3 linked regions of the Struthio camelus genome follow. The protein of the gene in region 2 interacts with the protein of the main gene of each other region in a pairwise test. Links are inferred from orthologs where the notes say so. Each region holds a gene or a part of one and is shown on either strand. Other genes may lie near its edges.

Region 1 (6,933 bases), on a different chromosome or scaffold from region 2:
TGCCAACGCTATTTCCTCCAGCTTGTCTTTAAAGGTCTCTTTTCCAACAGCTGATCCGCTCTGCAGCTCCGGAGAGTACGTGAGATCCGGCTGGCCCACGGTCTAGCTGGTATGGCTGCGTGCCATGTTGTTGTTTGTGTTGCTTTCATTTTTTTGGCGTTGCTTGGCTCTTCCACGCAACTTGTTTTCATCCTGAACTATGCGCTCATTACATACCCAAACGCCCACGCAGGTTTGTGCAGGAGGAAACTCAAAACACACGCAGCAGTGGAGCGAGTCTGTGACGGCAGGCAAAATGTCTGTCTCCAGGCAGCCACAAACAACTGTCAAATCCCCGAGCTGTCCGCGGTCGGGTTTCAAGGTTTTCGACGACGAGCGTGATGTTGGCATTCGCACCCGTTTGCGCATTGTCCTGGCCAAGCAACGCGGACGACATCTCTTGGGGTCGCCCTGGCCTCTCCTGGCAACTCCAGCTACCGCCCCAGGCACCGTCCAGCCCCTCCAAACGCCGCAGGGACCTGTTGTTGCTGCTAGAAGAGATCTCACTTCCCCTCCAGAGCCAGAAATAGGCCTCCTCTGTAGGCTGGTTGCTTCATAACTGCCCTCTTTGGGGTTTCTCATGAGCTTCTCCAAAGCCACGTGTCTGAGCTGTGGCCAGAGGCGGTGCAGGGCAGCGGCGGTGCCACTGGACCCATCAGGTCCCATGGATGCGGCGTTGTCTTGGCACAACGTGGCCATGGACTAGGAGAGCGGGTCCAAGTAATCATGTTTTCCGAGTCCCTCTTACGCCACCGCGATCGAGCGCTGGCAGCCTCCCAGAGCAGGATGTGGCGAGCTCAGCTGGAGGCCGGTGGGCTGGCCAAGGATGTGTCACTCTGGCCCTCGGCACGCTGTGCTCCTCCCGCCGCGCAAAGCCTGCTCGGAGAGCTGCGGTGCTCTCCCCGTTCCCACCAGCCGGACAGACCGATCCCCAAAACCGGGAGAACAGGTCTGCCAGTGCGGTTTGCAGCCTCTTCGCTTCCTGCCCCAATCCTGTGCTCTGGAGGAGTAAAGATTTTCCAGAACTGTCACTGCAGTGGATTTCACTGGCGTTCGATTCCTTTCGTCAAAAACGTGCTAAAAATAAGCTGGCTCAGGGAGTAGGTTACTGCGTCCTGCCTGGCCAGGTCTTGAGGGGAGCAGTAACGGGATCCTGGGCAAAGTGGCTCCCGGGGGCGTTTTACCCTCACGTCGAGCCGTGAGCTTGTCTGCTGCTGCATGCCAGCAGCCCCTCCGCCACGCTCCCTCCTCGGGTGCGGGGCCCTCGCCTGCCGTTTGCTCCTAGTTCCGCAAGTTGCGTACGCAGAGGTCACAGGTTTGATTTCGGCATCGCCGAGAGCTCTTCTCGGCTCCCAGTTATGACATAGCATCTCTTATTCTGGAGCGGGTAATATCTTATTAGCGACATCCTTCATAAACTATTACCTCTGCAGTAGCCGGGGGTGGGGGGAAAAGAAAAAATTAAAAAAAAAGTCCTCAAGCAGAAGTCTCGATGAGTGAAATCTTAAACGCCACAGGAAGGCTGCAAACTTGCACACTCGTTACCAGAATGACTGAAGAAGTTTGTACTCGGTGCACGGCCACTGTTGCGCTGTCCTAGAGCTGCGCTGATACTAAGGAAAACGCTGCGTCCCCGCTCAGGGAACGGGTCTCGTCAAGGCATGGAGACCTTTTGAACGATGCAGTTGATGTTCAGCCGTCAACGCCGCTGAGCGAATTTTTCATCCGCAGCCAGGTTTCGTTGCTGTGTTCCAACTGTCTCTCCTAAAATAAGAGGAGGAGGGGGAAAAATCCTTGTGTTAATTTAATCTACTCAGGCATCTTTCTGTCCTGCCTGATAATAACTCTCCAATCTGTCATTTCCAACTGACATCTGTTTGTTTGCTTTTTTATCTTTATCTTGAAATACCTCCTTTCCTGAGCAGCCCAGAGGCGTCGCAGCGATGTCCCAAACCTTCCCCTTCCCTCTTAACCTCGCCGTCGGTGAAACCATCTCCCTTCTGCGGCTCCCTTAAAAAAAGAAAAATAAAGAAATAATTTAAAATGCAGAAAAAAACTTTAACAAGTCCTCCTGGAGACACCTGTCAAGGAATACCCACTTTACCAGCCGGGATGGCTCTGCAGGGGCGGGCAGAGCTCTCCGCCAAGTTATTAAATCAGATGATGCAGGAGGCATGAGAAACAGGCGGTGTTTTTTCCCATGGCAAGGCCCTGCAGGCCACTGCTTCGTGCAGGCAAGCTGCGGTACAGACTGGGGGAAAAAAAGCCCAGAAACAAGGAAAAAAATCCTTCTGACTGATTTTAGCTCCCGACGCTCCATTTCCAATCGCTTGCAAATGGGACAATTGGTAAAACAAGTGACTCCGTCCACGCACCAGTGAATCCGCTGCAAAGACAAAAACAACCACCCTGCAAACGCGTGCCTGCAGTGAATGAAAAGGCGGTGAAAACACGGAGGATGATTTGCCGCTAGTTTGTTCCACAAAACCATTTGGGATGCTCCGTCGTTCGTGTCGTCGGACGTGCAAGAAAGGTTACTTTAATCGATTTTACATCATTGTTCGAACTTTAATTCTACTTATTATTAACTTTTTATCTATTTACTGTCATGTATATTTAATTGCTTTAATCCATCTTTGGAAAAAATGAAACCCCAGCATTTTAACATGGCGTAATAAGTGTCGAAACAAGTTTCTTCCTTTTGGTGCTTCTTCTGCAGTAGAAAAAGTTACAGTCAAACATTTAGCTAATAAAACGGAGCAGGGGAGAACGACTAAGCTGACTTACGATACATATCAGCTAGAGAGCCAGCGCGCCATAAAATCCCGCCCCGGTTTTATTCGACCCCTTTCCCCGCTACGTACCAGCGGCTTCGGTCTGACGGGCCGGGCTCTAATTTTAAGTTATTCTGGGATGGAAAAAGAAGACACCACGGCCTAATTAAATCCATGCAGCGGTGCTTTGACTGGCGGAGGAAAACAGACGACACGCAAGAGATGAGGGAGGAATCATTCCGTCCCCAAAAACATAGCGACAAGGGTAAAAAGGATGTCTTGCCGTTGCTCGGGCAACGCCGAGCCCAGCGCGGAGGAGAAGCGGACAGAAGGAAAAGAAACTTCTTCACCAGGGCGAAATGAGCCTCAAGGTGGGGAGGAAGCTCCGGGATCACCATAAATTGCTGTGAAAATCGCCAAAACCCCACGGCTGCCCTTAAAATTAGTCCTGCGGCACGTCTCCCACTGGTGACCCGTGGCCCCCACGGTGCCCCATAGTGTGGCCCCCACGTCTCCCACTGGCAGTCTATGGCTTAGGCACCCCACTGGTGACCCACGGCCCCCACTGTGCCCCACGGCGTGGCACCCATGGGGACCCCAAGGCCCAGGCACCCCACTAGTGACCCAGCTCCCCCATTACACCTCAGGGAGACCCCAGAGCCTATGCAAGGCCTGGAAGACCCCCACTGGGGACACCACACCCCACTCGTGACCCACAGCCCTCACGGCCCCCAATGCACCGCGTGGCCTGCCACCCGTGGGGACACCACTCCCCATACACCCCACTCACGACCTCGGCCTGCGTGGCCCCCCCTGAATGCCCCATACCCCACTCACGACCGCGGCCCGCGTGGCCCCCCTGGCGCCCCCCAACCTGCATGTCCCCGAGTGGCCCCACTCCCGCCTCGTGACCGATAGCCCGCGTGGCCTCCATGGCACCCGCGGCCTAGGTGGCCCCCCAGAGCGGCCCACGCCGCCCACTCGCGCCGGCGCGGCCCCCTCACGGCCGCGGCCTAGACGCCGCCTGGCGCGGCCCGGCCCCGCCCCGGCCGCGCGGCCCCTTTAAGCGCGCGGGCCCCGCCCCGCCCCTGGCGGCCGCTGCCGGGCGCCGCGGCGGCCGCTGCCGACAACAAGATGGCGGCGGCAGGGCCGGCGGGCCCCGAGAGCCGTGTGCTGGGCTACACCCTGCACCGCTGGAGCAGCTTCTCCTCCACCTACCTGCCCGAGTGAGTGCCGCCGGCCGACCCCCCTGCCCCCCCCTTCCCTCCTGTCACCCCCCCGCGCCCCGCCGGCCTGCGCGGCGAGGGCGGCGCTGCGGCAGCGGCCGGGCCGCTGTGGCCGCCGCGGGGGGGGGGCTGCGGGGCGGCGCGGGCTCCTGGCCGTGGGGAGGGGGAAGGGCGGTGGGTGGAGGAGGGGGGGAGCGGGTCCGGGGGGAGCAGGGGGTGGGGGAGGGGGCCCCCGGCGGGGGGGGGCTCAGCGAGTGGGGGATGGGCGGGTGAGGGGGTTTGGGGAGGAGGGGCGAGTGTGGGGGGGGTCGGCGAGTGGGGGAGGGGTGGGAGAGGTCTGGGGGAGGGGCGAGTGTGTGGGGGGGGCAGCGAGTGGGGGAGGGGCGAGTCTGGGGGCTGCGAATGGGGGAGGGGCGGATGAGGGAGGGGTCTGGGGGGCGAGTCGGGGGGGGTCAGCGAGTGGGGGAGGGGCGGGTGAGAGGGGTCTGGGATGGGGGAGGGGCGAGTCTGGGGGGTTTGGGATGGGGGAGGGGCGAGTCTGGGGGGGTCAGTGAGTGGGGGAGGGGTCTGAGGGGACGGGTGAGTCTGAGGGGGGTCAGCGAGTGGGGGGAGGGGCATGTGAGAGGGGTCAGTAAGTGGGGGAGGGGCGAGTCGGGGGGGTCAGCGAGTGGGGGAGGGGCATGTGAGGGGTCAGTAAGTGGGGGAGGGGCGAGTCGGGGGGGTCAGCGAGTGGGGGAGGGGCATGTGAGGGGTCAGTAAGTGGGGGAGGGGCGAGTCGGGGGGTCAGCGAGTGGGGGGGCATGTGAGGGGGTCAGTGAGTGGGGGAGGGGCGAGTCGGGGGGTCAGCGAGTGGGGGAGGGGCGAGTCTGGGAGGGGTCTGCGAGTGGGGGAGGTGTGGGTGAGCAGATGTGGGGGGGACAGCAGGTCTGGGGGGGCAGGCCATGGGGGGAGGGGCGGACCATCGATGTTAATTAGATAAGGCAGCCTGTGGGGTAGGGGCTGACAAGCAGGTTTTGGGGGGGGCGGAGGGCCTATCCCTCGCTTGTGGGAGGGGGTCCGTTTTGTATGGCCTGCGAGCGGGGTGGGAGGGGGTGGCCCCCCCCCCCCAGGTGTGGGGCGGGCAGGGTGCGTGGCAGGGGAGGGCTCATGCTCCGCCGGAGTCCCATCCCGGGATCCCGTGTCGCCGTGGGTGTGAGGCAGTCTCCTTTCGACTTGCTGATATTAAAATTGGGGATGGCCGGGGTACAATCTAGAGGTGTGCTTGTCGGCGTGTTGTCCTCCGCGCTGGAGAGCAGGAGCGGGGTTAAAAATACACTCTTGGGACACTTTGGTCGTTGCAGGCTGCCGCAGAGCTTTGGCTCCCGATTGCATTGAAATTTATAACCTTCGATTGGGGCTAGAGGACTTAAAGACACCTTTCAACAAGACACCTTTCTCACTTTTGATTATATTTTGATTAATTTCATGAATTATCTCTGTAATCTAAAAGGAAGTTCGTTGCCAAAAGCTTTTCTGGCTACAACTTTAGTCGTTGCATCTCTTTATACCTTTGCTGGGTTAAGTATGGAGAAGACTTGGACCTCTTTTCTCATTGTTAGCCTTTGGTGAGAACTAAGTCATCACTCTGCCTTTTCCTTCTTGAAAAGACTTAACTTGCACAGAAAGGCATTTCTTTCAGGACTGGGATCGTTCTTGTAGTTTTTCAGCAGTGTCTCTGGCTTCCAGCATTGTATTAAAACTTGGTCCCTGAATGGGAGGGCGACAGTCCATTATTGATCTTCCTGATGCAATATAAAAAGATAAAAGTGTCTTTCTCCTTGATACTCCTTTCCAAGGTTCCCGTTAGTCCTTTTGCCACAGATTTGTGAGGAATTAATGCCGACATGGTATCTGCAGTGCTGCCCAAAGACCTTAATGTCATTGCCTTCCATGATACAATTCCCTTTTCTGTAATATGGTTGGTGTTTTACAAGTGTATGACCTTGCGTGTGACTGTTTTTAAGACAGTGTTTAGAAGAGCTTATCACCAATAGAAATAACTGGAACAAGTTTTAAGCTGTGTTCAATAATTCCAGCTGTGGGGTTATTGTGTAGCATACTGACCTTCATCCAGGGGGTGTCGTTTCTAATATTTATGTGCTTTCTTCTGGCCTGTAGTGAAAATATTGGATAATGTCATGAGGAGAGTGCCCCTTATGAAACTTTGTTTTTTTGCTTGATGTCTGCTAATTTTGCCTCTCTCGTATTCTGGGAGAGAACTTAAATGCCACCTGAAATGGAGGGGGAAGGTTCTGACCTGGGACTTAAGATTAGATTCTCAAAAGGAGAAAAAAAATTGTAGAGAAAACATACAGGGGGAAAATAGAGGAGGGAGTGCTGATGGAAATCCGTGCTGCAGGATGACTATACAGCTGCAGCTAGAAGTTTTCTTGGTCTTTAATACACAGATGAAAAGTTATGCTTTTGTGAAGGGGGACTAGGAATTCTGGTTACACCATAGTTTAAATAAGTTTGTTTACAAGCCTAAGTAGGAAGAAACCACTTCCACGAAAGGGACTTCTGCCATAATATGTGCAGGAATACACTACTGCTATGATGATATCGCTTGTCATTGGGAGCATGCTTACTACTGCTGCACTGTTGCTAGCAAAATGTGTTTTGGAAGAGGAACAAAATAGCTTACCCGTGTTCCGCGTAAGCTAAGTGCAATTTAAACACACTTCTTAAATACTTATATAGCTTTAAATGTAAAACAAAGCTATGAAATAAAAATTTTTCCTCTGTGCTCTTTAGGGGATCTGCATATCTGAAACCTGCTGCTGACCCATGTGTTCCGGTCTACAGACCGCTGTGAAATCACCTATTAAGCGTTCTTTTCCATAAAATAAAAAAGA
Region 2 (7,820 bases):
CCCTCAGTAGAAAATTATGATGACTCAGAAACAGCTCTTGACCTGCTGAGAATAACTTCTCTAATAGCGTGTTACAGTTTGATATCTGTTTTCACAAAAGGAATAAACCAGTGTGTCTCATCATATTTTCTATTTTGCACCCACATAAATTTGTCTTGTGAGTAAAACATATTTTACTCAGCTTGGAGGGCATTTTATTTCTGTGCTCATGTTGACATTTTAATTAGAATACGATGCTTGTACAGTGGCCCAGACAACAAAGACTACAAAATCTTCTATTTATGATCTTTCATAATGAACAGATGTTCAGTTCTCCTCAAACTGTCTTTTGTTACTGGGCAAAAAATGCCCTATGCACCAAAAAATGATCAAAAGTACTTGTTCTTCAGTGTGAAAGTGAATATGGTAAAGAGCTACAAATAACAAAACCTTGGAAGAAAAACATAAAGTAACTATGTATCAACTTTAAACTCATCAACAAAATGCAGCTTATCAAGCTAAATTCCAAACTGAAAATGATCTGACTTTACGATAATAACTTTATGCAGCTGGCCATCAGAAAAGGACAGATAGCTTCAAGGGTAAGAAACTGGATTATAGAGATTAAATGTGGTGAGATTTTGTTCAAAGATTAGATCATACTTCCATAAAACCTGAAATCCCAGTACCTCACAGTGTTCCTCTAGATACTGGAAGGGAAAAGAACAGAATACAGAAAACAAGCCCGTTCCTGCCATGTATACATGCTATTGTTCAAGTATCAAAACTAACTAACTAAATAAAAAACCCACACATGAATCATTGGCAACCAAGAGAGATTTCCAATCACTCTTGGTCTAAGATAAGCGCAGGTGTATTTGACTCATACAGCAAAATTATTTTCATTAGCGGATTGCTCAGTTTTGTAAAAACAGAAGCGCTGTGTTATGTGCGAGCAGCAATATAGTAATGCTGTAAATTGCAACTCGATTACCATTTGATTTAACAAAGTTAATAGCTGATGATGGCCTATAATTCATACGTAACTCATTTTTGCAAGCCTTTCATTTGTCAGTTCATCGGGCCCATACTATATATGAGCAATTAAATCAGCAGGAAAAAATAGTCCAAAATAGCAAAGGGCTCAGCAAAAATCCTCCAGGTGGTTTAAAGAGATCTGTCCTTAGCACTGTCGAAATACCATAGCATACTTCTTAGTGGTTTTCTTTTCTCATTAGGACAGCAATTCAGCACAGTAGGTACAAAGATAAATATCATACCGCTGATTTCCAAGCAGCTTCTTGAAGCATGGAAAATTAATTCTGAAACAGTTACAAAGAAAGTATGCATTGCACTTAAGCAGAAGGAATACTAAACAAAGAACAGCAAACAGTTACCATCACTACAAACGATATTACATTTCAGAGAGAAAGTAGCTGCAAATTTGTCTCTGTAGCAGCTACTAGCATCCACGCTAAATTCACATGTAACTACCATGAGGATCACTCCTAAGGAGGGACAAAGGACATGCACAGAAATAGAATCGCAAGGAGGATCCTGCCTCTGTTTCCTGACGACAGCCAGAATGCTATCGGCATCACTTGCACAGATGGCTATAGCCCACTTATTCACCCTTAATGAAAACACGAAGAGTAGCTAACACAGGATCCAAGAGTTAAATTAACCTCAGCAGTGCTGAAGTCATGCAGAATGCTCTGTTTTGAGAACAGGATGTGCTTACGCAACCAGGAATGTATTATTCTTACCGATACTGTCTAGAGGGTGTCAGTCAGGGGCTGCTCTGGCCTCTGTTCGAGTTCCGGATTCCCCAAGGAGAGGACTGACTGGAGTCCCTAGGGTGAGCTGATGTTCACGCAGTACGTTTGTCAGCAGGACCAGGGTCCTGGAGTGAGAGAGGGAACTAATCACCTGCGCTGATGTTAAAACCTCTGTCGGACATATTGACACCCTGTTGATATGTCCAACGGGAGACCAAAGAAATGCCCTCAATTGCTGCAAGGCTTAGATTGTGTTTTCTTTGGTTGAACGAGTCACTAAAAGTAAATGTAAATAAAAAGCACGCAGAGAGAAGACAATCTCCACATGTAGAATTAGGCCTGATCAGGCTTTCTGCAAAGCAAAGTAATTGCTAGCTGATCTATCCACTAAAATTCTTTGAAACTGTCAACAAACTCCACCCCAAAACCAGTGAGATATTGGTGGACTAGTTCACTTTTTATAGCATTTCAAAAGGCCTTTGATTAAGTCTCTAAGCCAGAAATGACTCAAGCAGCTAAGTAATCACCGGGCAAGAGGAAAAGTACTATCACAACTCAGAAACTGGAGACAGAAGACAAAGAGCAGGATTCAACAGCTAGTTGCTGTGATGGCAGAAGGTCAATGACAGCCTGCTTCAGGGTTGTGTAGCAAGTCTCCTATTGTTGCCGTATTTGCTACTGATCTGGAAAGATGATTGTATTGTGAGACTGTAAAATTTGCAGCTGTCATAATTGTTTCAGTTAAGCAAGACAAGAGGGGAATGTGATGATGAGGAAAACCTAATAAAATGGAATGGATCGTGTAATGGTAAATTAAGTTCAATGCTGAAAATGCAAAATAATGCATGTTAGAGAGGAAAACGTGTACTGCTTCTACATCTGACAAGTTCTAATTTATTTACATCAATTCAAAAGCAGAAACTGGCCATTTATGTAAATATCTACGTGACCTCTCTAATCCAAAAGAAGCTGTAGTCAGAAAACAAATAAGCTGTTAGAACACAGACGGAATAAATAACATACTGATTAACACCAAGTATTAGAATACCTCTATAAAAGAAATTCGTTTTCTCCTCAGGAACAGTGTACAATACATCCCACCTCAGAAAAAGTGATATGGACAAGGAGATTTCCATATCTGCCTCGGGGCATATTTTGAGGAAAAGGCACTTGTAAAAAAAAAAAAAGAGTGTTTTAATGGATTGGGACTATTTACCTTAGAGACTGATAAATGACAGAGGATAAGCAAAAAGAGTAGCAAATAACGTCAAGAGTTCAGCATGGAAACACCTGCTCTCCTGTCTCATTGTACAAGAACAGGAACTCGATGGTGGCAAATTCAGAATGGGTGACTGAAATATTTTTGCGCAAACATAAGTGAGCTTATGACACTTGGCTCAGTCAGGAGCCAAGGCAAAACAGAAAAAAAACCCTGAAATTCAGAAAAGGGTTGGATGTTTACATCTACATTTATGAACATAACAAGATGTCCCAAATCAAAACAGTGAATGCTAACCAAATGCTAAATTTTCTAAATTTAATCTTAAGCTCCTAGGTTTACACTAACCTCTAGATATTACAAATCAAACTTGGACCTACTGGGAGATAGCCTACCAGTGCCAGGATAACCAGGTAGGATCCAGTATGTATTCTGGCCTCCATCCTAGATGTTTCTACTTTCGTACAGTTTGCAGCTCTCTTTGATAGGCTATTTATAGATATCAGATTTTGCCGAGCCATAGATGCTACAAGTCATCATAGAGCTGTCTCATGTGACAGGATATTTTGGTGACTACAGGCACAGAACGATGTTTCGCTTCTTACAAGGCTTTCTGAGTGTCACACTCATATTACCTCATCTGCCATTTCACACAGTGGAAGCATAATTAACCTCCTCTATTTCCTGCTTCTGGACTTGTTCTCCAACAGGCTGGCAGCCGGAAATGGGTTTGTAAAGCGCCTAACATTTCAGGTTCTAGACCCGTCTGTGACATCCCCTTCCTCTTCTGGTGTTTTCAGAGCCAGGCTTTCCTGTTTGTAGGTGTTTCTCTTTCATTGTCACCACGTGAAATCTCAGCGCAGACAACCGCTGACATTAAGTATAGGCAAAAATATTCCTCAAAGCACAAGCCAAAGGAGAAGGGGGGAAGAAGAAGAAAAAAAAAGCCCAACAACACTGCTCTGCTTTTCCCGCCCTCGTCAGTCCAGGAACCCCCAAGCTTTCGAGCGTCTGCTGGGCCATCCCGCTTGGGCCTCGGTTTACTGCCGTCATGGCGACCGCACTCCGGCACGGGGAGCAGGGGCCCGTCCGGCGAGGGTCACCCCTGAGGCGAGGCCAGCCCCTTCGCCATCTCTTTTCTGCATCCGTCTGCGCGGACGGCGGCACAACTAACCCCCGAGGGCGGCGGCGGCGGCGGCGGCGGCGGTGGGAGGGAAGGGGTGTAACCGCCGCCGCCGGCCTCGCGCCCCGGCGCGCGCCCAGCCAACCGCCCCACAACGGCCCGGCCTCGCGCCCGCCGAGGTCCGGAGGCCCCGCCCCTCGCCCCGCCGGGGGAGGGGGAGAGGGAGGGAGGAGGAGGCGGGGGGCAGGGAGCCGAACTCAGCTGACTCGGGGACGCACGGCGGCGGCGGCGTCTCGCGCCGGGGCTGGACAGAGCGCGCGCGCGCGAGGCGCGAGGGGAGGGGAGGGGAGGGGAGGGGAGGGGAGGGGAGGGGGAAGCAGAGGCAGCTCGGCCGCGGCGCCTGGCGCGCGCTCTCCGCCCGCCCTCGCTTCCGCCCGGCGCGCGGCGCCGCTCCCCCTTCCCCCCTCCCCCCCCGCCTCCCCAGCGCTCTCCTCGCGCCGGCAGCTCCCTCCGCTCCGCTCCGCTCCGCCGCGCCGGGGCCTTCCCCCCCGCTCCCATCGCGCACCCCCGGGGGCCGCAACCGTCGTCATCGCCCCTTCCCTCCCTCCCTCCCTCCCTCCCTCCCCCGGACGCTCCGGTTGGGGGTGACCAGCCGTGTAACCCTCCGGCAGCGCCCGGGCCTGCCCGTCGCTCCGCTCCGCCCCGGGCCCGTCCGGTGACAGCCGCGACCGCGGGAGGTGGTGGTGGCGGCGGAGGAGGAGGAGGAGGAGGAGGCCGGAGCCGGGATGTCCGGGCAACAGCAGCAACAACAGCCGCCGCCGCCGCCGCCGCAGCTCCCCTTGGCGGCCGCCGCTCCGCCGGCGGCACCGGCGATCGCCCCGGCCGCCAACGCCGGCCCCGCGCCGGCCGCCGCGCTGCTGCTCCACCCGCCGCCGCCGCCGGCCACCGCCGCGCCGCCGCCGCCCGCCGCCGCCAGCAGCGGGTCGGCGGCGGCGGCGGGGCTGGGCCTGTCGGCGGGCGGCGGCGGCGGGGGCACCAGCAGCGCCCCGGCGCCCTTCCCGCACGGCGACCCGGCCCTCAACGAGCAGGAGAAGGAGCTGAAACGGCGGCTGAAGAGGCTCTACCCGGCCGTGGACGAGCAGGAGACGCCGCTGCCCCGCTCCTGGAGCCCGAAGGACAAATTCAGCTACATCGGCCTCTCGCAGAACAACCTGCGGGTGCACTACAAAGGTGAGGGCCGCCGCCGCCCCCTGCCCGGGCCCGGGGCAGCTGCCCGGCCCGGCCCCGGCGGCGGGCGCAGGAGCAACAATAACAGGAAACAGCACACGCTGCCCTCTCTCTTTCTTCTCTCCATTTTCATGTTGTTTTGTTTCTGGACCCCTAAATGGTGCGCAGTACGGAGCAGGAAGCTCATGCTTTTTCTTCTTCCAGCTTTATTTTCTATCCTTTCCCTTCCCCCCTTTGCTGCCTTGGTGTTTGGGGCGGGCGGGGGGGGGGGGAGCCGAAGGCCGCCCCCGCCTGCTCCTGCTTGTGGAGGGGGCATTATGTAAACTCTCCGACTTCCTCCGAGGATTCAGGTGTCGCCAGAAGGTTTGGGAATAAGGCAGGAGGATAAAGGAGAATCGGAATGACGTGTCCTGTTTATGGTAATGAGCGAGAAAAGAAGTGTGGGGTGGTTGTTTTCTTTTCTTTTTTTTTTTCTTTCTGTCGAGAAGAGTAAGGCTTAAATGGAGTTAAGAGCAGCAAGCGTTAAGCTATTAAACACGGAAATGATGGGGAGGGGAAAGCACAGAGAAAAACAGGTTTTATTTTTAAACTGTGAAAAATGGAATTAAAGTCACTGACTGTAGGCATGCCTGGGCATTGTACAGACTGCAGAGTGATTTCAGGGAAGGAGTGACAATAGGACTTACATGAAACAGGGTGATTTTATAGATTTGTGCTTAACCTGCTTCAGAGTTAAGGTTACGGATCTCCTAAGAAAAGATAAAAATGAAAGTATGTGTTTGTATAAATCAGCAGGAGGTAAGAGTAGAGAAACTTAAGTGCTGATTGTTATGAAATGTCATAGAACCTGGAAACACACGCGTACACGCCGACCTGAAAAAAACACAGGCACATCTGGTGTTCTAGGCCCAAGTCCTAAAGTAGAAGTGTTGGGGATTGAAAACCACTTCTGAGCTGGCTGTGAAGAATTGGATCTTTTGTCAGTCTGTAGTCAAATGAACGTAATGGGAGGGGAAAAAACAACCTTGCAATTACCCTTTCTCAGAGTTTACAGTAGTGAAATTCAAGTGAAATCTCGATAAACATGTTACTGTTTAATCAGAGGAGGAAAACAGCAACACAAACACATGGTAGGATTTGGCTACCATGAAAGGATTAAATGTACTCTATAAGACTTTTTTTTAACAGAGAGGCTTTACTGTTACATGCAAAATACTCTGTTAAAAATGCTAAGTTTAACGCACCACACAAAGCTAATAAATTTGGAGGTTGATGACTAGCTATAGGGCTGGTTTCAGGGAGGCACTGAGTGATTTAAGGACATGTTATTTAGTATTCAACTCCGAATTTCCTGGCTTTTGTTCAGTGTTTTATGACCTTGTATTTTTAGAAGCATTTTGTATTTTCTGGTGCTTAGTGGCTGTGGTGTTTTTCATGGCATGAGCATAGCTCTATGGCCACCAAGTCATTCTGCTTATTTGTTTTGCTTTGACTGACTTTTATTGCTTATGAACTAGAATTTAGAGATGGAACCTCTCTGGTCGGTCAGTGTAATTGTAGAAGTATATTTTCAAGCTTTCTTGGCGCTTTTCCGCTCTTTCCTCTCTTCTGTCTTTTGCCTAAGTGTTAAGAAAATCATACTTCAAAGAAATTACAGCAGGCTGCACGTGCTTCTGAAATACTGGTAATGTTCTGGATGTTCTACCAGAAGTCACGCAGCACGGTTGGTAGGTTATGATAATTAAGCACCTTTACTTAGCTGTTAAATAATAGTGTGAGGTGAAGGCTGAAGAGTTCCTAGATTAGTCCAGAGGAGTGTGAAAAGGAAAGGTGCAAATATAATATGTATGTACTTTTCTGTCTCTTAGCTGCAAATGGGAGTGAGTGGCCCCTTTAGTGGCCCATCTTTTCTTCCTGGTAATTTAATGAAGGTGGCTATTAGAGCAGTGCTATGTATATGTTACCAGCCTGGCACCTGGAGGTGCTAACCGGGCTAAGCAATGAGTGGTATCAGGGCATTCCTACCCATGAGACCTGGGAAAGAAGCAGCACTAAACATCTGCTACCTCTCCTCCCCCCCAGAACCCTCATCCTGAAGAATAAGATAAAAGAGAAGAGAATTAAGAAGGTCAGTGAGGAGAATAGGGAAGACAGAGAGAACATTTCACATGATTTCATGCTACAAATCAATTCCAAGTAGAAGTCTTGAAAGCTTTCAAAGTATCTTCTTGTGGAATACTGGCACTTTGTGTACTTCTGAAGCTATCTAAGCACTGATGAAAGAATGGAAGATGTTTTTCTTAGAAAGGGAATTTGAATCACACATTGAGTATGAATAAAGATCTGTTGTATTCCAGACCAACATAGTCAGGGGGAAGGAGGAAAAAGACAGGTCTGTCCAAAGCTCATAATCAAAAGCAGTTTTCCTGTATTTTCTGTTACCTTAATATATAGGCACCTGTACACTTACCCAAGCTTTCTGTGTTGCCTCCGT
Region 3 (8,023 bases), on a different chromosome or scaffold from region 2:
CAGATGACCGAGACTGCTTTTTTGATGTGATGGAAGAAAAAGCTGAAAACAGAAACCTCTACTTTCCACAAAGATAACTGACTGGAGACCAACACCCTGGATGAGCTATTAATACATGATTATTATCCATATGCAAGAAAATCAGGCAAGAATTTCAGTATCAAAATTCTTAAAGTCTTCAATTAATTTTAGGGATCGAAACTGTAATGAGCATGTACATACTCCTAGAGCTCCAGAATTCACAGTGGCATTCTAGGACACCCAGCTGCCGCTCTAGAATCTCTTCCTTCAGCAAATCTGTCCCCACCTGGCTAGCACAGAACACAAATTACTCAATAACTCCAAACGTACTGCTGTACATGATGCACACATAAATTTAACGGCAGGACTCAGGATAACCCTTACCCTCCCAAGTCAGCATCTGGTTCCCTCACAACGAAACATCTGTAACAAGGAAGGAAAAGCCCTGCTACATCAAAGCAATGATCTACCTTGCATCTAATATCTTGTCTCTGACACTGACTTGTAGTAGACATCTAAATTGAGCTGGCTTCACATTTAACTCCATGAGCACGTATCCATCTCCTCTTTACTGTAGCACACCACTGTCCTACCCTAGCCCCGCATATCCTGGATATTTCCTCTCACTGCTGCCTCCCTCCTAGCAACCGTGCCATACTCTGGCCTCTGTGTTCCTTCTCGTTAGTCATCACTTAACAATTACTCTTACCTCCTCTTCTGCAGCTAGCTCTCTGGTTTCTGCTGACAAAACTTTCATCATCTCTAAAGAAGAGGAGCTGATTCTTCAAAAGAAGAGCAATGCTAAACATTTTTATAAATCCTGAAAAAAAAGTGGAAAAAAAAGTGCTGAACTCTACAATTCAGATGATGAGTATTTCTCATCATCTGAACTCTGTAGTCTAAGTTATGCATCCAGGTCTCAGGACTGTGTAGCATCATTATATAAAAATCATATTTAAAGTTCCTACAGTTTGAACACCGGAGATTTTAATTATTTTTGGAGAGAAATACATTGTTTGCTTAAAACACTGGACTGAAATTAAGGAGACTGAGAAATGCTAATATCAATTAGCATCACTTTGGGTAAAAGAATAAATGAAGAAACACAACACAGAGAGATTATGACCTGTGTTACATAAAATATCAGACAGTATGACCAGAATGGTCCTTTCTGGCCACTGAAACTATAAATTAATTAAGAACTTTGCCTGAAAATTCTTAAATAACATTTTCAACACAACACTTTCCTTACATTGCACAGTGAGCACCACAGACTAGTCTGACATAGTAAGAAGATATAAGATCTCATTTTCTTATTGCCCAAGACCTTATGAAATTATTTTTTTAACACGGTAGAATTCTACACTCATCTTGTACAGGCGTAAGTTAAGGCCACACGTCGTCTGTTCTAAACGTGCACAAGTCTGCTCTGCCCAAACCCAGCCAAAACAAGAGTCGTGCAGCCTGTTCATATGGTATGTATGACTTAAAGTGCGCATCTTTGCAATACTGCTACCAAAACACTATCACTATATCGCCTTGAGGATGTCCTTCAGGAGAAAAAAGGAGGATCTGTCTTTGATGGGGTTCACAACCAGTTGAGGACTATGGCGGAAAATGGCTGTGGGATTACTGAGATCCCATCCTCCTTGCCCACTCTTGTGTAATGTCTCCCACTCCTTCTGCTCAGGACAGACAGACCTTGCATGGCTTTTGCTCTTGCACTTTGCTTGGAGAAGGAAAACTTCCACCAGCAAGCCTGATGGAGAGCACAGCCTGCTCCCAAACCCCTTCCTTCCCTGCTGCTGGAAGAAATGAGGTGCACCACCATAGGATAGAGATCACCTTTACAGAGTGCCAAGCTGCTACACCCTGTCTCTCAGCTCTGTTTTTTACTTTGGCTTTAAGTGAGGTGCATGGTTTCCATTTAGCTTAGGAATCCCAAAGAGACTGTGGAAGTGAACCTGCTTCACGAAACTCTGGTGTCACTGTGGATATATATAACTGTACCAGAGCAACTTCACCGACCAATACTCCCAGGACAGTCTTTAGGATACTATTTTCACTGTAGAATTTTGTTCAAGTTTTGACTCTTTCTCTGCCCATCCATTTTTAGTTACAGCTAAACAGGAACTTGCCAAGCAAAAATCTGATTTAACATGAAAGCTGTGATTCTGACACCAACCTGATGTTGGAGCTTCCCTTTAAGAAATAAGCAAACGACACCACTGCAGCAAGCATATCTTCACAGTCATATCCATACCAGGGTAAAACTAGAGTTCACTTAATACCCCTGTGTTTAACAGAGGTCTCAGCACAGACTTCAATTTTGCCAGGAGCATACTGGTAATCTCTGGGCTCTCTCATAGGTTTTCAGTCATGTACAGTCTCAAAGCCATGTCTTTCCCTTTTCTGTGTGCACTGTGCTACTACCCACAGGAAGGAAATACAGGTCTACAACTCCATAAGTACTTTTTCAGCAGAGTGTTGACTATCCAGACCTTCATTATCTGAATTTATTTGAAGAAATGGTCTCATGTATTATTATATTGAAAATGTCCTTCACCATCTGAAACCGTTACTGTTAAGATTTATTTCATATTGCCTATGTCCTTGAGAAATAACACTTGTAATAGCTTTGTGATGAGCATTTAACTATGTTTCTTTCCTTTACCTTTGAAATTTTGTCTAATGAGGCCTATCTTAAACAGGCTCAGCTCCCAGGGCTTGCTGCCAATCCTCTTTACAGTTCAAGTTTTCATCTGCATCTGCCAAGAGGTTGATTTAATCAGATGTATTAATTTTTCAGTCTTAAATGTTATAGTCTTGTATATAACACTAGACTAGAACACCCGGGCATCTGTTTTTAAGACTTTTTTAAGATATGCATTTTTAGACAACAGAGGCCCTTCTGACAGCCAGGATGATTGAAATATAATACAAATACGGGCATATGGGCTGTAATATAGGATTCAGACAGGACATCCCAGCAGCCTTGGGTTTTGTTACCCATCTTCTATCCCTCACACAGCCAGGAATAGGTGTACACATCCAAAGATACCACTGTTACAAATTGTGAGGCTTACATGAAAATCTTCTGATGACTTTGGTGGAAGAAAGGGGAAGTGCAGAGAGAGGCTCCTGCACTATGCACATACTCAAAAATACAAGTGTTTGAGAATGGCCCATTAAAGCCTTGTGCCTCCTGCTCTGTGTATGACTATGCTATACTTCATAAGGCGATAAAGAGGCAGTGATTTTGAGCATGTGAAATCTCCGAGTTCTTGCTTTCATTTCCACTCTCTCACAGATTTTTCCAGAGAGAATATAAGTCCTGTTCTAAAGCTCCTCTTTTTTTTTTTTAATATGACGTTAAATGTCTCTCTCATCAAAAGGATGCTCAGAATACTCTCTGTGGCCATGAAGCTATACATGTTATCTACAAAAAGCACCCATTAACAGCTTTAATTGATCTTCCTCCTCTATTCCATTACATCTCTGACAACACCTGACAATATAAGACTTTAAAAAAGGAATAGCCGTTACCCAGATCTATGGCCCTCTCCCACTCCAATGGCATCCTTTTCCCTTTTCCTCGCTTTCCTCCCCATGGCTAATGATCACACTTAGGAAGAGCATGTGGTCTACCTCTACTAGCATTACCTGCTCTAATCGACTTTAGCTGCCATTGCCTGTATCATGGAAGCGCAGGAACAACTCTGACTAAAACGTCTGTCCTTTTGCATCTCTCTGGTATGGTGCAACTCGCCTCCTCTTCTCCATTTTTGCCATTACACTCTTGAAGTAGCTGGAGGTGCTATGCACAGGGCAAGCAGATGCACTAAGCGTGAGTCCGCAATGAAGCAGGAGGAGCAATCACTCCCACTCTGTCACCTTCTTCCCCAGTTGGAGATTTTTTTCTCCCTTACCAAGGATCTCCTTTGATTTCATTGATGAGACAGTAGAAGAGCTTGGTTCTACTAATCAATGAAGAACCTGCAAGCAGTCAAGCAACTGAGCAACAAACTGAGCACAAAAATGTGCCGATGCAAATAAGGAGCGTGCAAGGCGAACATACTGCACAATACATGTCCCCAGCCTTCCAGTTTCGATACTTTTTTTGTGTCTTCCTATCTGATAACAATCACACCAATGTCTATGGGAGAGGATCCTTGGAGCAGTGAAGCACCAGGTCCTCTGAAAATTCTGAGGATTGGTGATATCCAAGTCATTTCTAAAGCACAATTCTGGTCACAATCCCCTCCCAGCGTGGTGCTGTACGGTTCACCACATTTTATTACTAGGCTCAGCGCTCTCTCCTCCAAGCTATATAATCAGAGAGGGCGACGTTTTGTCAAGGCCCCTGACTCGCGATGCTAATAGCTGCACACTGATCGCCTCCCCTCCCCAGCGTGCAGCCCGTTAAGTCATTCTGCCCGGGTGCCGTCTCACTCGGGTTGGCCACCGGTGCTTTCGGGGCTCGGGAAGGGAGCACTGTAAGTGCTGTGCGGGCAGATCTGCCGGAGCGCCCCCGCTCCTCACGGCCCTCCAGAGGCGCCGCAGGAGCGCGCCGGGCTCCGCGCCAGCTGCCGGGGGCGGCGGGGCTCACCTCGGGCAGAGCCGAGCCCGCTCCTGCGGCGCCCTCGGCGGGCCGAGCCGACACCAGCAACGCCGGAGCCGCCCGCGCCGCGCCAGAAAGGGCAGTGGCGGGCGAAGCCCAGCCTCCGGCCCGCCCTCCCCGCGGCGGCCCCGGGCTCCTCCTCCCGGGCCCGCCCGCCGCACACACGTGCCGGCGCCCAGCGGCGGGGCGCGCCGTCGGGGCGGGCGGGCACCGCTGCTGCCGCCGCCGCCGCCGCCTGCCCGGCACCGCCCGCGCCGCCGCCACTCGGGCTCGCCGCGCCGGCCGCGAGGCTGGCGGCCCCGCCGCGCCATGGCCGTCGCCTACCTGCTGGGCAACGGCTCCGCGCCGCTCCTCGCCGGCGCCCTGGAGGCCCCCTTCGCCGCCAACGCCTCGGCCGCCGCCTGCCGCCCCGCCGCGCCGCCCTGCCCGGCCGCGCCGTCGGGCGCCTGGGGCAACGGCTCGGCGGCGGCGGGCTGGGACCGCTCCGAGCCCTGCGGCGGCGGCGGCGGCAACGGCAGCGCGGGCGGCGGCGGGCCCTGCGCGCCCGCGGCGGGCGGCCCCTCCGTGGTCACGGCCATCGCCATCATGGCCCTCTACTCCGTCGTCTGCGTGGTGGGGCTCTTCGGCAACTTCTTGGTCATGTATGTCATCATCCGGTGAGTCGGCTGCAGCGCCCCGGCCCCGCTGCCGTCGGGCGGGCGGGCGCGGAGCTGCCGCGCCCCCCGGGGCCTCTTCGGGGCAGGGGGGACGTGCGCAAGGGGCTGTGCCGGCGGGGCGTTGGGGCTCCTGCCCCGGCGCGGGGGAGGGAGGCTTTTGAGAAAGCTGCGGGGCGAGTGGCCGGGGAGAGCAGCTCTTCAGACGGGGCGGCGGCCGTGACGACCGGCCGGGCAGCGCGGCCCCTCAGCGCCGCTTGGCAGCCGGGGAGGTGCTGCCCCGGCCCCCGGGGGGACGCGGCTGCGGCTGGGAGCGCCGTGAGCGAGCAGCGGCGCGAACGTCACACCTGGCCGCCGAGGCAGGAGGGCGGCAGGAGTGACTGTAGCCACTACCCGTGAGCGTCTGGGTATAGACACTCGCGCACATCCCCGCGTCTTTCCCCTCACCTCTCCCAAACAAGCAAAATGCAGACAGCGTCACGGCTAAGTGCCTCTGTCTTCTGGATTTATAGCTCCCCGGCCTAAGGCGTTGAGATATAAATATATATATGTGTGTGTGTGTGTGTGTCTGTCTGTGTATACATGTGTGTAGACAGATAGATGTATATAAAAGGATCGCGCGCACTATAAGGAAATCAAGCTATCCGGCAGTGCTGCACCATTTCGCAGCTTTCCCGCGCCAGCCGCGGGCGGGGGGCGGCCGCCGCCGCGCAGCGCGCCCAGGTGTTGCCCAGGTCCCTCACATCTGTCTGTGGCTTCCACGCACGAGAAACCCCACAGCGGTAAATCGGGATCCTCTCGCGGAAGGCGAGTGGCGGCGAGATTAAACGGGCTCCTTTACCCGGCCGGGATGGGGGCGGGCCGCTTCGGTGGGGGAACATCGCCACCTCCCGGGGACCCGGCCCGGCACGGGGGCTCACCCAGCGCCTCTTTCCTTCCTGGCTCCTCGTGGTTTCAACATCTGGAGGGACGCGGAGAAGAGCAGCCAGGGAGCCGAGCGGAGCCCAGCGGGGCGCTGCTGGAGGGAGTGCCCTGGGGTGCGCCCATCCCCGCCGGGACAGCCCCAGGCCGCCCAGTTTCCCCAAGTTTTCAAAGCATCCTTCACTTTTTCCCTTCAAACTGTACATTTCCCAAGGAGTCAGGGTAATAGGGAACTCTAAAAACACACTGGGGCTAGCTAGGCTGACATTCACTGCAGTAGGGTAGCAGCCACATAGCCATCAGTCTCGGGTGCCACGGCTGCAGGGACCTCACAGGTGGAAGCTGAGGCTGGTGCCAGACATTGCTCGCAGGCCAGCAGCACCGGGGAGGCTTCAGGGCACGCTCGGCACTGGGAGCACTAGCTAGAGAAAAGAAAAATGCTCAAGGTAGGATGCTGCAGCACAGCAGAGATTGGTTCCTTCAGTGTGTAGCAGCATGTTGGGGAGGTCAAAACCAGCATGGCTTGTAGACCTAATGCGACTAGAGATTACATTACATGCATCAGTGGTTCAAACCGTAGCAATCCACAAACCTAGTGCTTAACTACATTTTAGAGGCTGTATTTTAAATATACAGCACTGGGAAGATCTGTACTGCTGTGTGGTTTTGGTCAGCCTGAGACACAGGCTATTTGCATGTTAAGATACAGCTGTAGAAATGCTTCTGAACAGGGGCATGATTACAATTGTCTGAGCAAGTGTTGTATGCATCCTTCTGCGAGAAAAAGCAGATGCACAATATAACAGAGCCAGGATGGTTGTCGACAGAGAAATATGCCTCAAGTTGTCCCTGGGATTATGTATATATACTGGATATAACCTGTGGTATGCTCATATTTCTTTTATTTATTAACTGAATTACGCTTGCACTGCAAAGTCAAATTGAACAAGGCACCTGCATTTAGATACCTGTTTAAAGAGAGCGTCTTCCCAAAGATTACAATCTAAAAACAAAAGTCAGAAGTAATAGGAGAAAACAAAAATGTGTTTTCATTTTACAGATGAAAGTACAAGAACATTAAATGGCTTCTTGAACACCATCCAGAAATTGTATGGCAAAGACAGACTGAATGCAGGTCTGCTGTGCTTTAACGGCAGGAGCAGCTTTCCATATGACAGAGTTGCTTCCCAATTAATATCATGCAGCTATTTACCAATTTGGAATGAAGAAGAACATACATGTTATGATTGAATAGGATCTGTGGTTTAAGTAACACAAAAATGCATTTCCTTTCTATGCTTCTCTGTAGGTTTAGTCTACCTCCACTACAGTAGGGAACTTTTTTATTTATTTCCTGCTGCAAGGTGTACTAAGATGCCAGTATTCCCAGTCATTCCCAGTTGATATGCATGATGCAAATGATGAGTGCATGTGCTCATATATCCTTGGATCCAGCGGAAGATAGGAGCAAACCTTTCACTGGACTGAATTTGACGTCATATAAAGCTCCTTTTCTTTTTTTTTCTTGCACCACACCTGCTCAGGAAGAGCTAAGTCTTGAAGTTTATGTTAAATTTGAGACAGATTGAGGGTACTAGAAATCAGATTTTAAAAGCAAGGATGGATACCTAATTTACCCTGGAAATGCTAGGAGTTGGGAGGCAGGTGCTTAAAAATCTGAAACACTGTCCCTTACTCACCTCTGTTAATCTAGCCCCAGTGAAAGCAACAGTGACTTCTTACCCAGTGCTGCATGTTGCCATTGCGCCATAATCTCAGCTTCTTTAGAAATATTTTTGGGGGAATA

Evidence for each region.
Region 1: the proteins of RANBP9 (region 2) and MKLN1 interact in a two-hybrid assay, tested with the Homo sapiens proteins (2 studies listed by BioGRID). The link is inferred for Struthio camelus from reciprocal best matches to the Homo sapiens genes RANBP9 and MKLN1.
Region 3: the proteins of RANBP9 (region 2) and OPRM1 interact in binary tests that used the Homo sapiens proteins (3 or more experiments, as listed by UniProt). The link is inferred for Struthio camelus from reciprocal best matches to the Homo sapiens genes RANBP9 and OPRM1.

What each region holds. Positions count from the first base shown.
Region 1 is NC_090942.1:4,288,630-4,295,562, reverse strand, and holds the start of MKLN1 (muskelin), read left to right. Parts: upstream 1-3,855; 5' UTR 3,856-3,947; coding exon 3,948-4,039; intron 4,040-6,933. UniProt on the Homo sapiens protein: Component of the CTLH E3 ubiquitin-protein ligase complex that selectively accepts ubiquitin from UBE2H and mediates ubiquitination and subsequent proteasomal degradation of the transcription factor HBP1.
Region 2 is NC_090943.1:97,936,085-97,943,904, reverse strand, and holds the start of RANBP9 (ran-binding protein 9), read left to right. Parts: upstream 1-4,746; 5' UTR 4,747-4,884; coding exon 4,885-5,329; intron 5,330-7,820. UniProt on the Homo sapiens protein: May act as scaffolding protein, and as adapter protein to couple membrane receptors to intracellular signaling pathways. Acts as a mediator of cell spreading and actin cytoskeleton rearrangement.
Region 3 is NC_090944.1:79,751,736-79,759,758, reverse strand, and holds the start of OPRM1 (mu-type opioid receptor), read left to right. Parts: upstream 1-4,951; coding exon 4,952-5,298; intron 5,299-7,003; exon of another isoform or gene 7,004-8,023. UniProt on the Homo sapiens protein: Receptor for endogenous opioids such as beta-endorphin and endomorphin. Receptor for natural and synthetic opioids including morphine, heroin, DAMGO, fentanyl, etorphine, buprenorphin and methadone.